Oryctolagus cuniculus: one gene and its partners. The protein of the gene in region 3 purifies or fractionates together with the protein of the main gene of each other region. This does not show direct contact. Links are inferred from orthologs where the notes say so. Each region holds a gene or a part of one and is shown on either strand. Other genes may lie near its edges.

Region 1 (3,649 bases), on a different chromosome or scaffold from region 3:
TTAAGAGGCAGAGTTATAGACATAGAAATCTTCCATCCACTGGTTCATTCCCCAAATGGCTGCAATGGCTGGGGCTGTGCCAGGCTGGAGCCAGGAGCCAGGAGATTCTTCTGGGTTTCCCATGTGGGCTCAGGGACACAAGTACAGGGGCCATCTTGCACTGCTTTCCCAGGTACATTAGCAGGGAGCTGGATCAGAAGTAAAACAGCCAAGATGGGATATGGTGCCCATATGGGATGCTGGCACTGCAGGCAATGGCTTAATCTTCTACACCATAGTGCCAGCCCCCAAGAGTTCACTTTTTAAAAAAAAAATATTCAATCCATGCATATTTTCTTTCTTGTTTTTAAATTAGAGTTGGGGAGATAACACAGACAGAGCTTCTACTCACTGTTTGATTCCCGTGTATGCCTGCAACAGCCAGGACTGGGCCAGGCCCAAGCCAGAAGCTAGGAACTCAGTCCAGTTCTCCTACACTGGTGTCAGAGATCCATCCAGCCAGTTATCACCTCCTGTTTTCCAGGGTCCACATTAGCAGGAAGTTGAAATCAGGAGACAAAACTAGGAATCTAACTCAGGCTCTCTGGTATGTGCCTTAACTGCTAAGCCAAACACCCCACCCCACAATTCCCACCAAGAGTACAACTTTTGATAAAAGGCTCATGTGTTGCTAATTTATAAGTTTGTGTGTTTTTTTTTTTTTTTTTTTTTTTTAAGATTAGGCATGATTGAGAAGATTATGAACTGTTGTCTTTGTTTTAGGCTTGGCAAGTCTAACTGGTTGCTCCACACATCTGTAATTCAAGACATTTATGCAGTAGCAATCCTTCACATGGCAGTAATAATGTCTGAGTCAATCAGATAGTTTCTTATCTACTAGCTGTATAAACCTATACAAATAATGATTTTAAATGTGTTGTTGATAAGGGGGTAGATATGAGTATAATACACAGTTTAAAGTGTTTTACTGGGAGCTTTTCATTATCAGGAATTTTGAATTATTTCAGTAACATACCTACTCAGAGAAAAATCATGATAACTGTTTTCTTCTGAGATGGTGAAACTGTCCATATGCAATAAAAGGTATAGAGCCTATAAGTCACGTTTGTGTTCAAATCCCAGTTCTTCCGTATATTGCATGTGAGTCCTGAACCTTAGTTTTCCCATACAGATGGGATAATATCTAACTTGCAGGATTGTCATCAGGATTTAAGTGACATGTAAGTAATTAACAAATGGTAACTACTGCTGATCTTGTGGTCAGCATTCTTTGTTTCTAAACATAAAGTGTAGTGTTCTCCAAGGACAATTCTAGTTTTCTTAACTCACTGATGGAAGAGTACCCACCTGTATACAGAGGTATTTTCAGAATATTGCCATTTGTTAAGTTGAAATGATTTTCAAAATGTGTAAAATACTAGCAAACTGTCTGAAGTGTGTAAGAAATGTACTTGAAACCAAACCAACACAGAAAGGTTGCAATTACAAAAGTAGACAAAGATATAACAGGCAGGTATCAATCACCTGCTGCCCTCAGGCGTGCACATTAGCAGGAATCTTGAGTTGAGAGCAGAGCCAGGGCTCCAACCCCGGCCCTTTAGTATGGGATATCACAAGCAGTGTTTTAACTGCTATGCAAAACACCTGTGCCAGTGTATACATTATATTTTTCATATATGTTCTTTACCTTTGTCTTATTTATTTAAACTTTGACCAAACAAATCTAGGTTGGCAGAAGTGGCAATATCCCAGCTGGAACAACAGTTGATACAGACATCACACACCCATATGAGTTTGATTTTTACCTCTGTAGCCATGCTGGAATACAGGTAAGCCTGCCGTGTGGGCGAAATCTTTTAATGCAAAAACTTACGTTCTTATGTGTATTTTTTAAATCTCAGAAGGAGAAGAAAGTATTCTTCAACTCTTCCCTTACCTTCAGATGGGCTATTTTTATGAAAATTAGAATACAGTTAGTGTAACAGAATAAATCTTCCTTAATTTAGCCTAAATCTTTGAAAAAGCTTAAAGTAACTAAGAGTTCCTTTGACTATGCTTCTTGTTGATGATATTATATAGAAAACTTTCATATTTCCTGGTAGATAGTGAGCTTGTGAAAGAGTTTAATTGCAGAATTATAGCTTTCTGTTTCAGTTAAATGATTTTAAGAATCTTTTCTTATTTCCAAAGAATCTTTTCATTAATTTGTTGGTTTTACTTGGTAATTAATTAATTCAGTGTTTCTCAGACTTTGCAGCAATAGGAAGAAACTCATATCCCAAGGGTATCTGAGAGGATATAGCCCAAAACTCTCTTAAGTTATCTGTCATTAAGGTAGAAATTTCAGAAAGATGTACCTTACTTGACAGCTATGTCTTACAGTTTCACATGCCGCACATGCACTAACCCCTTTCAAACTCTTATCTTTAAAATATTATCACACTCTTTCATCTATGTTCTTATATCAGTTTCTCTTCAGAATCAATGTTGTGTGTCTTCAGAGTGAGTGGGAACAATCACAAAAAAAAGTTAATGGCACCTTCTAGGGATAAAGCCTGTATCACTAAAGCACATATTTCTTTTTTTGTTTTTTTTCTATTTTTTATTTATAAGAAGGGAACAAATTTCATATATTTCATATATACAATTCTAAGACATAATGATACTCCCTATGGAGTACATATTTCTCTTTTTTAAAGATTTATTTATTTATTTGAAAGACAGAGTTACAAAGAGGCAGAGGCAGAACGAGAGATCTTCCATCCCGCTTGTTCACTCTCCAAATGGCTGCAATAGCTGGAGCTGGGCCAATCCAAAGCCAGGAGCCAGGAGCTTCTTCCAGGTCTCCTACATGGGTGCAGGGGCCCAAACAATTGGGCCATCTCCCATTGCCCTCCCAGGCCATAGCAGAGAGCTGGATTGGAAGTGGAGCAGCCAGGTCTTAAACCAGCACCTATATGGGATGCTAGCACTACAGGCGGTGGCTTTACCCACTACATCACAGTTGCAGCCCTTGTTAGTTTTTTGTTGTTGTGTGTGTGTGTGTGTTTTTTTTTTTTTAAGATTCATTTATTTATTTGGAAGACAGAGAGTTACAGAGGCAGAGAGAGAGAGAGAGAGAAAGATCTTGCATCTGCTGGTTCACTCCCCAAATGCACACAACAGCTGGAGCTGGGCCAATCTGAAGTCAAGAGCCAGGAGCCAGGAACTTCTTCCGGGTCTCCTACATGGGTGCAGCATACATTTAACCAAAAATCTTAGGGATCAGTTTTCCATTGGAACACTAGTGTCAGATTTCTGCTCTAGTCAGCAAATAATGTGGAATATTTCACAGGGACTAAAGACTGTTGTTTATATGTCTTCTCAGCTTCATTAAGATTTTTTCTTCTTTTTAAATAAGTTTATATATTTGAGAGGCAAATACAGACAGCTCTCATCTGCCTCTTCACTCCCCAAATTTCCACAACAGCTTGTGCTGAGCCAAGCAGAAGCCAGGAGCTGGGAACTCATCTGGGTTTCCCATGTGGGTGGCAGGGTCCCAACTATTTGAGCCATCACTTGCTTCTTCCCAGGGTGTGCATCAGCAGGAAACTGGAACCGAGAGCAGAGCCAGGACTCCAACCTAGGCACTACAGTATGGGTGGGATCT
Region 2 (3,649 bases), on a different chromosome or scaffold from region 3:
TCTGTTACTGTACTTCCTGATACAGCTTCCTGCTAATGCACACCCTGGGAGGTAGCAGATGCTGGCTCAAGTACTCGGGTCCCTGCCACCCACGTGGGAGACCCGGATGTGGTTACAGCTTCCTGGACTTCTGCCTGACCCAGTCCTGGCTGTTGTGGCCATTTAGGGAGTAAACCATGAGATGGAAGATCTCTCTCTCTCTCTCTTTCTTTCTCTCTCCCTCTGTCTTGCTCTGCCTTTCAAGTAAATAAAATAAATAGTAAATTATTTTAAAAATTAATAAATGTTTGTTGAGTAACTAAACTAAATCTTCTGATTAGGAAATTTCATTGTCCCAATTCTAAAAATATCAGACTATAAACAAGAGATATAGTACTATTAGTATTTTTCACTATGAAAATTAGCAAATAAATGGATAAATATAGCTACTATTTATTTTTCTCCTGTTTGTACAACAGATAATAATGCATAATTATAATAATATTAATCTATAATAATAATGGAGAATTAATGGATCACCCCCAACTCTGAGAATGATGGCCCCAAGAATTTGAAGATAGTTTTATTTTTTTAATGCATACAGCCTTGTAAGGCTAGCTTTAGAGCTATTAGTGCTCATGAGAAGTTTTACACTAACCTACAAGTGAAAGGAATTCATCATACTCTCTAATTCTGATGTCTTTATCTTTAAAATAATGGCAACCTGGCAAAATATTTAGAAATATAGAGAACCTTAAGCTGGCAGACATTCTATACTAAATTCATCAATTTATTTAATTTGAGGGGCAGAATGAACTCTCATTGCTGGTTCACTCCCTAAATGTGTGCAATGCTCAAGTCAGGCACTGGCTGAAGCACAGAAGAAAGAACTCAGTCCAGGACTCACATGTAGACGGAAGGTCCCAAGCACTTGAGCCATCACCTGCTGCCTTCTACGAACTGCATTAGCAGAAAACCAGGAATCAGGAGGGGAGCTGAGACTCAAACCCAGACACTCCATATGGAATGTGGGTGTCCCAACCTGATATCCTAACCACTTAATCAGAGCAAGCTCAGTGAATAAAAGATCTGAGTAATTGCAGCTAGCAGCATTGTCGTCATCATCATTATAAATATTATACTTCATGACCAAATAACATAGCAAATGTCTTTTAATCTTTTAGGACCTCCCACCAGCCTATTTCAGCCACCTCGTCGTCCTGGCCTTGGTACTGTTGGAAAACCAATTCGACTGTTAGCCAATCATTTTCAGGTTCAGATTCCTAAAATAGATGTGTATCACTATGATGTGGACATTAAGCCAGAAAAACGGCCTCGCAGAGTCAACAGGTAAGGGTCAGAAAGAACAGGCCTCTGTATATTTGAGTGAGCATGATTTCTATCATATTGTTCTCTAAATTATGTCAACACACAGGCTTTGTTTTTACCCGAGATGGTGAGTTTTTTAATAGCAAGTCTGTGGTCTCGTACTTGGTTATCCTCCTTGGTTATTCCAGTAGAGTGGTGGGTGTATCATTTATTCTGGTACAATTGAGTGTCATATATAACCATAAGTAGCAAATGCCTACTGAATGAAAGAGAAAGGTCACTCTCAGGAACAAAGAGGAACAGAAATGTGTAAGAATAGGTGAGGACATTAGTATCTATGGGACGTAGAACTATCTGGAAATTCAAATTTTATTAAATGTTTACATTGATCATGAGAAGTATGTAAGTGTGAAGACAGAAGAATCATCTTGAAATATTGAAAAAAATTGCTCAGAGGAAAGTTCTACTTATTTCTAGCACTATCCAAGAGGGGTACTGATGAGATGCTATGAATTTTGTTGGCTGTATAGCAAGAATTTGCCAGATGTGAAGACACAGCCCTGTAGTAAATATTCTAGCAGTGTGCACCCACTTTGATTTTCCCCCTTTCCACGCCATGATATTCAAACAGTCTTTGACCTTAACATTCTTGTTCTTGCTAATAAGTAAAATATCATGTGCTGCTTGAAATTTTTTTCATCACAGGTAGTCAAAACATTTTCTATAGCATTTACTCTGGTAACAGGGGCATCAAATACACATGTGATATGACTCAGATTTTTAATAGATTGTTTGGGTCCTAACTTGAAAATGGACCCTAGGGCCGGCGCCGTGGCTCAATAGGCTAATCCTCCGCCTTGCGGCGCCGGCACACCGGGTTCTAGTCCCGGTCGGGGTGCCAGATTCTGTCCCGGTTGTCCCTCTTCCAGGCCAGCTCTCTGCTATGGCCCGGGAGTGCAATGGAGGATGGCCCAAGTGCTTGGGCCCTGCACCCCATGGGAGACCAGGAGAAGCACCTGGCTCCTGGCTCTGGATCAGCACGATGCACCGGCCACAGCATGCTGGCCGCGGTGGCCATTGGAGGGTGAACCAACGGCAAAAGGAAGACCTTTCTCTCTGTCTCTCTTCATTAAGGAGGAAATATTTGATGACTTAAAAGAGAGTTCTTTTAAAATAAATATTATAATAATTTAAAATGTAATTTTATTTATTTGAAGGGCAGAGAGATAGAGCTCTTTCATCTGCTGGTTCACTCCTCAAATGCCTGCAAAATCATGGACCAGGCCAGCCAAAGCCAGGAGCTGAGAACTTAGTCCTGGTCTCCTGTGTGGATGGCAGGGAACCAAGTACTCAAGCCACCACCTGTCTCAGGGTGTACAGTAGCAGGCAGCTGGAATGAGAAGCAGGATTGGGAGTCAAACTCAGGCATTTTGCTATGGATATGCTTGTTCCAAATAGTATCTTTTTTTCTTTCTTTCTTTTTTTTTCTTTTTCTTTTTTCTTTTTTTTTTTTTCTGACAGGCAGAGTAGACAGTGAGAGAGAGAGAGAGAGAGAGAAAGGTCTTCCTTTGCCGTTGGTTCACCCTCCAATGGCCGCCGCGGCCGGTGCGCTGCGGCCGGCGCACTGCGCTGATCCAATGGCAGGAGCCAGGTACTTATCCTGGTCTCCCATGGGGTGCAGGGCTCAAGGACTTGGGCCATCCTCCACTGCACTCCTGGGCCACAGCAGAGAGCTGGCCTGGAAGAGGGGCAACCGGGACTAGAACCCAGTGTGCAGGCGCCGCAAGGCGGAGGATTAGCCTAGTGAGCCGCGGCGCTGGCCCCAAATAGTATCTTAACCCCTGTGTCAAACACCAGTCCCTATTGTCATAATTTTACCATGAGGAAACAAACATGGGAAAGATTAAGAAAGTTGTCCAAGGTCATGCAGTTCTGCTGCTTCATCATTGTGTGACCAGGGGACAGATCCTGGCTCATTCTGAATTTTTCTTTTTTCCTGTAATCTTTCTCCGTTATCTTACAAGGTTATTGTGAAAAGTAAATGAGAATGAAGGCAAAAAATCTCTTTACTGTAAAACTCTTTATAATCATAACCTTTTCTAGTATTAAAATATATAATCTTAAGTAAGCTTTTTTTCAGTTACATGACTTGGTATATAAATAAGTGTGGTGTATAAAGCTTCCCCACAGCTTTCATTTGTAATAATATTAATGAATTAACTAGCGATATATTTTGGCTCTCAAGAGGTAGTCCCCATGTGGAAGTCACTAATGTTGGTAAGACCAATCACCCAACTTCATTGACTCTCACATTCAAAAATCTCAGAGACCCATACATGTC
Region 3 (4,216 bases):
CCAAGTGCTTGGGCCCTGCACCCCATGGGAGACCAGAAGCACCTGGCTCCTGCCATCGGATTAGTGCGGTGCACCAGCCGCAGCGCGCCAGCCATTGGAGAGTGAACCAACAGCAAAGGAAGACCTTTCTCTCTGTCTCTCTCTCTCACTGTCCACTCTGCCTGTCAAAAAAAAAAAAAAATTGCCTCTCGCTGTTGCCCTAGGACTAGCTGTCCTTTCCTCCCCATGGACGTTTGTGAGCTACCTCAGATCCCTCTGCTGCAAGGCGCGCAAGGCGCAGCCTTATTGTGGGCTACAGCGGTTGTCTCGTTGCTAAAGCAGCGCCTCTGAGCTTACACAACAGCCCCGATGAAGCTCCAGGGTGCGGAGCTGGGGAGGGGAAACACTCGACGCCGCAGCTTCCCGGGCTAGCCTCCAGCGCCCTGCTCCTGCAGGTCGTGTTGGTCCCGGAGGCTGCCGGCTCGCGCTCTGGCAACGGGCTCCAAGCCTCCTGCCCTGCCCTGCCTGGAACGCGGGCTCGCTGCCATGAAAGCGCCCAGTGGCCAGTGGCCAGGAGCAGGCATCTCGCTCGGCCTCAGCCACCCTGGACGCGGTCCAGGAGCGGAAGGGCTCTTCCGTTTGCACGCGATACATTATTGATTTCCAAGGCGAGTCGCTCTTGATCTCGACTCTCTCCAAAGAATGAGCAGGGAACGGACGCGAAGGGGGCTTGGCGGGCCGGGCGGGGAGGATGGCCGCGATGTCCACCTGCGAAAGCCGGGTCGGTGAAAGAGGTGGACGTGCACTTCTGGGGGGCGGGAGGGGGGCATCAAGGCAGTTCAACTCAGGGTGCCGGAACAGAGGATGGGGCGGGGGCGACCCCTCCACAGTCAAGGCTTCCAGAGGAGACGGCGGCACCGGGTGCCCGGCGAGGCGGCCGTGTGACAGCCTGGGCTTGGCAGCCGGGTCCGATTCCGGGCACCGTGAAATAAGAGGGCTCTGTCGCCGCGCCAGCGCCGCGGGCTCCCGTCTCCGCGCGACCTTGGGCGCCCCCCGGCCCGAGCGTCCTAGCCCAATCGCGCCATCACCCCCACGCGTCTGACCAAGCCGTCTCTGTGAGGAACTCGGCAGCACGCTAGGCACGCCAGGACGGCCATTACCGCCGCCCAAGACGTGCCAAGCCACCAGGGCCGAACCCGACTCGCAGGCCGCGCAGCGAGCGGGACCCGACCGGCGCAGCCGGGCGCCCAATAAGCCGCCGGGACAGAACTCAGTGGCTTCAAACCAATGGCTTCAGCCCTTGTTGCTGGCCGGGCTTTCTGGCCGTTCCACCAATAGCTTGCAGCCTCGGCTCGGGAGTGGCAGCCCGACCGTCCAATGACGCACCACCAGCCCACACTCAGCACTTCTGAGGGGATAAATCAAGGAGCCGGCACGTATAGATTCCGTTATTAGGCAGTACGGGATGGAGAGAGGACGTTAGAGGAAACGGCGCCGGGGCGAGGCACTCATGAGCTAAAAATAGAAAAACGACGATGGTTGCGCCAAACGAGCTCGGCCGCCATCATGCTCTAGTTTCCCCTTCGCCTCTCTCGGTCCGCAACCGAGGAAGCGGCCTCTGGGATGCTGAGGGGGTGTGTCCCCGCATGATTGGCGCAGGTAGCTCAGCCAATCCTAGCTCGTCAAACGGGAAGCACTTAACCAATGAGGGGCGACGGCAGCGGCGAGGAATTGGAGGGGCGGAACGACAACTTGACGGGCACAAAAGCCAGCCAGTGACAGCCGGAAACATCCTCCCTGCGGCCAATGGGATGGGACTCTGGGCGGGCCCCCGAGTGTTTGTGTTGTGGTTTTGGGGGAGGGAGGCGGAGGGGAAAGTTTGTTTATTTTGTTTTTAGTTTCTGGGGTCCCCGTGCTTCTGGGAGGTGAAGCGGGAGGGAGGGACCCCCGCGCCCCTCAAGTTCCCCTACGACGTCGCCCCCGTAGCCTGCGGAGAAGCGGGGACCGCGCGCATCGCCTCGCCTCACAGCGGAACGCCGCGCACTCGGAGCCGGCGCAGCTCGCCGGTGAGTGAGGACCGGAGCCGCGCCGTCCTTCCCCTCCCCCGCGCGCCGTGCGGCCCGAGCTGGGCGGCCGGGGCGCGCGGCGTGTGCGTGTCCTCGCGAGGGAGCGCGCGGCGCGGCCCGGGGACGGGGGGCGTGAGCGCTCGCGGGGGCGGCCGCGGCGGCCGGGGCTGAGGCGAGGGGCCGGCAGGGCCGCGCGCCCCGGAGCGGCCGGGCGCGCGCGCCTCCCGCGTCACGCGCCGGCAGGTGTGAGGCGGGGAGGGCTTCCGGGCGTGCGGGCCGCGGCGAGGTCGCTTCCCGTCGCTGGGGGGCCCTGGGGAGCGAGGCCCGCGCGTCCCGGCGTCGCGCCGAGAGCCGCGGCCCGCCGGGGTGCGCCGCCTCTGCTGGCGCGGGCCGGGGGAGCCCCGGGGCCCGGGGCGTCGCACCTGCGTGATGCCGGGACGAGCCCCCGGGCCGGACCCCGGCCGGAGCCCCCCGCGCGCCTTCCCGGAGCCCGCGCCCGTGGCCGCTGGGGGCGGGGAGCGTTGGCCGCCTCCCCTTGGCCTGGCGCCCGTTAGTTTGCAGCTGGAGGGGTTTCAGCCCCTGGTGGCCCCCGGAATGCCTGCGGTGCCCGGCGACCCCCAGGACCTCAGTGCGGACCAGCCCGGGCCGGGCCCTAGCCCTGTATCCCGCGTGGCTTCGGGCCGTGAGTGAGCCTCATGGGTGCCCTCCGGCCGTGCACGGGGAAGCGAGGGGAGAGCGGAGCGTTTTGTGAAGACGCCTGTGTTGCGGGAAACTGCAGTGGTGTGAAGTGTTCTGTTGGTGTGGCGAGGCTCCAGCGACGTCGGCTTTGGCTTTGGAACCGTGGCTTTGCGTGGTGTTACTAAAAGCCTCCTAAGGAGCAGAGCTTGGAGCTGGCCTCGCCGTGGGCGTGTGCGCGGGTGCACGTCGAAGGCCCCCCGCGCTTAAAGCCCCAGCACAGCGTCCGGAGCACAAGTCTAAACCAGGCTGGCTTGTCCCACTTGGGACAAGGGACTGATGACAAGGACGCCTTTATTTTCTTTTAGACCTTGAGCTTCTTAGGAACGTTTACTTATTTATTTGAAAGGCAGAGCGACAGAGCAAGAGAGAGCGAGATCTTCATCCACTGGTTACTCCCCAAAGGCCCCCAGTAGCTGGGGCTGGGCCAGGCTGAAGCCAGGAGCCAGACACTGCATACAGGTGTCCCGGGTGGGTGGCGGGGACCTAGGCACTTGAGTCGCCCTCTCATGCCTCCCAGGCTGCAAATTAACAGGACGCTGGATGTGGGGTGCTGCTGTCCCGAGCTGTGGCCTAACCCACTGCCCATAGCACCTGCCCAGTTCTTTACCATTTTAATGAGCTTGTCCCAAGCACCATTATTTTCTGTAGTTTCTGATAGGACTTAAAGAGACATAGAAGTTCCCAAGCTGCTTTTCTTTTCTGAAAATAAACATTTATTTATTTTTATTTGAAAGGCAGAGTGATAGAAGATCTTGCCTCTGCAGGGTCCCTTGCCAAACGGCTGGGGCTGGCCTGAAACCAGGAGCCTGGAACTTCATGTTGAACACGTGCTCACAGGGGGTGCAGGTGTTGCAGGCTGCGGCTTAACCCACCGTGCGGCAATACCAGCCGCCTCTTTATTTATTTATTTATTTATTAAGACATTTATTTACGTGAAAGAGTTACTGAGAGAAAGGAAGAGACAGAGAGATCTACCTGCTGGTTCACTCCCCCAAATGGCTGCAACAACCAGGTCTGGGTCAGGCAGAAACCAGGAACCTGAAGCTCCATCCTGGTTGCCCACCTGGATGAAGGGGCCCAAGTACCTGGGCCATCAGTTGCTGCCTTCTCAGGCACATAGCAGGAAGCTGGATCAGATCTGGAGCACCCAGTTTCAAATGCACACTCTTGGGATCTGCTTTTTATGGAAAAATAAATGTCATGCCCTTGAGAAAAAGGGTTTTTTTTTCTAAGATGGAGGCACTGAAAAATGTTTTTTAAAAGATTTTTTAAAAATTTCTTCATTGGCTGGCACCATGGCTCACTAGGCTAATCTTCCACCTTGCGGCGCCGGCACACCGGGTTCTAGTCCCGGTCGGGGCGCCGGATTCTGTCCCGGTTGCTCCTCTTCCAGGCCAGCTCTCTGCTGTGGCCAGGGAAGGCAGTGGAGGATG

Evidence for each region.
Region 1: the proteins of TNRC6B (region 3) and protein argonaute-3 purify together in Homo sapiens (affinity purification with mass spectrometry; 6 studies listed by BioGRID and IntAct, with this or other methods). This does not show direct contact. The link is inferred for Oryctolagus cuniculus from reciprocal best matches to the Homo sapiens genes TNRC6B and AGO3.
Region 2: the proteins of TNRC6B (region 3) and protein argonaute-4 purify together in Homo sapiens (co-immunoprecipitation; 3 studies listed by BioGRID and IntAct, with this or other methods). This does not show direct contact. The link is inferred for Oryctolagus cuniculus from reciprocal best matches to the Homo sapiens genes TNRC6B and AGO4.

Annotation. Positions count from the first base shown.
Region 1 is NC_091438.1:136,589,007-136,592,655, reverse strand, and holds part of protein argonaute-3, read left to right. Parts: intron 1-355; exon of another isoform or gene 356-586; intron 587-1,727; coding exon 1,728-1,829; intron 1,830-3,649.
Region 2 is NC_091438.1:136,826,897-136,830,545, reverse strand, and holds part of protein argonaute-4, read left to right. Parts: intron 1-1,163; coding exon 1,164-1,329; intron 1,330-3,649.
Region 3 is NC_091442.1:116,179,216-116,183,431, forward strand, and holds the start of TNRC6B (trinucleotide repeat-containing gene 6B protein), read left to right. Parts: upstream 1-1,383; 5' UTR 1,384-2,045; intron 2,046-4,216.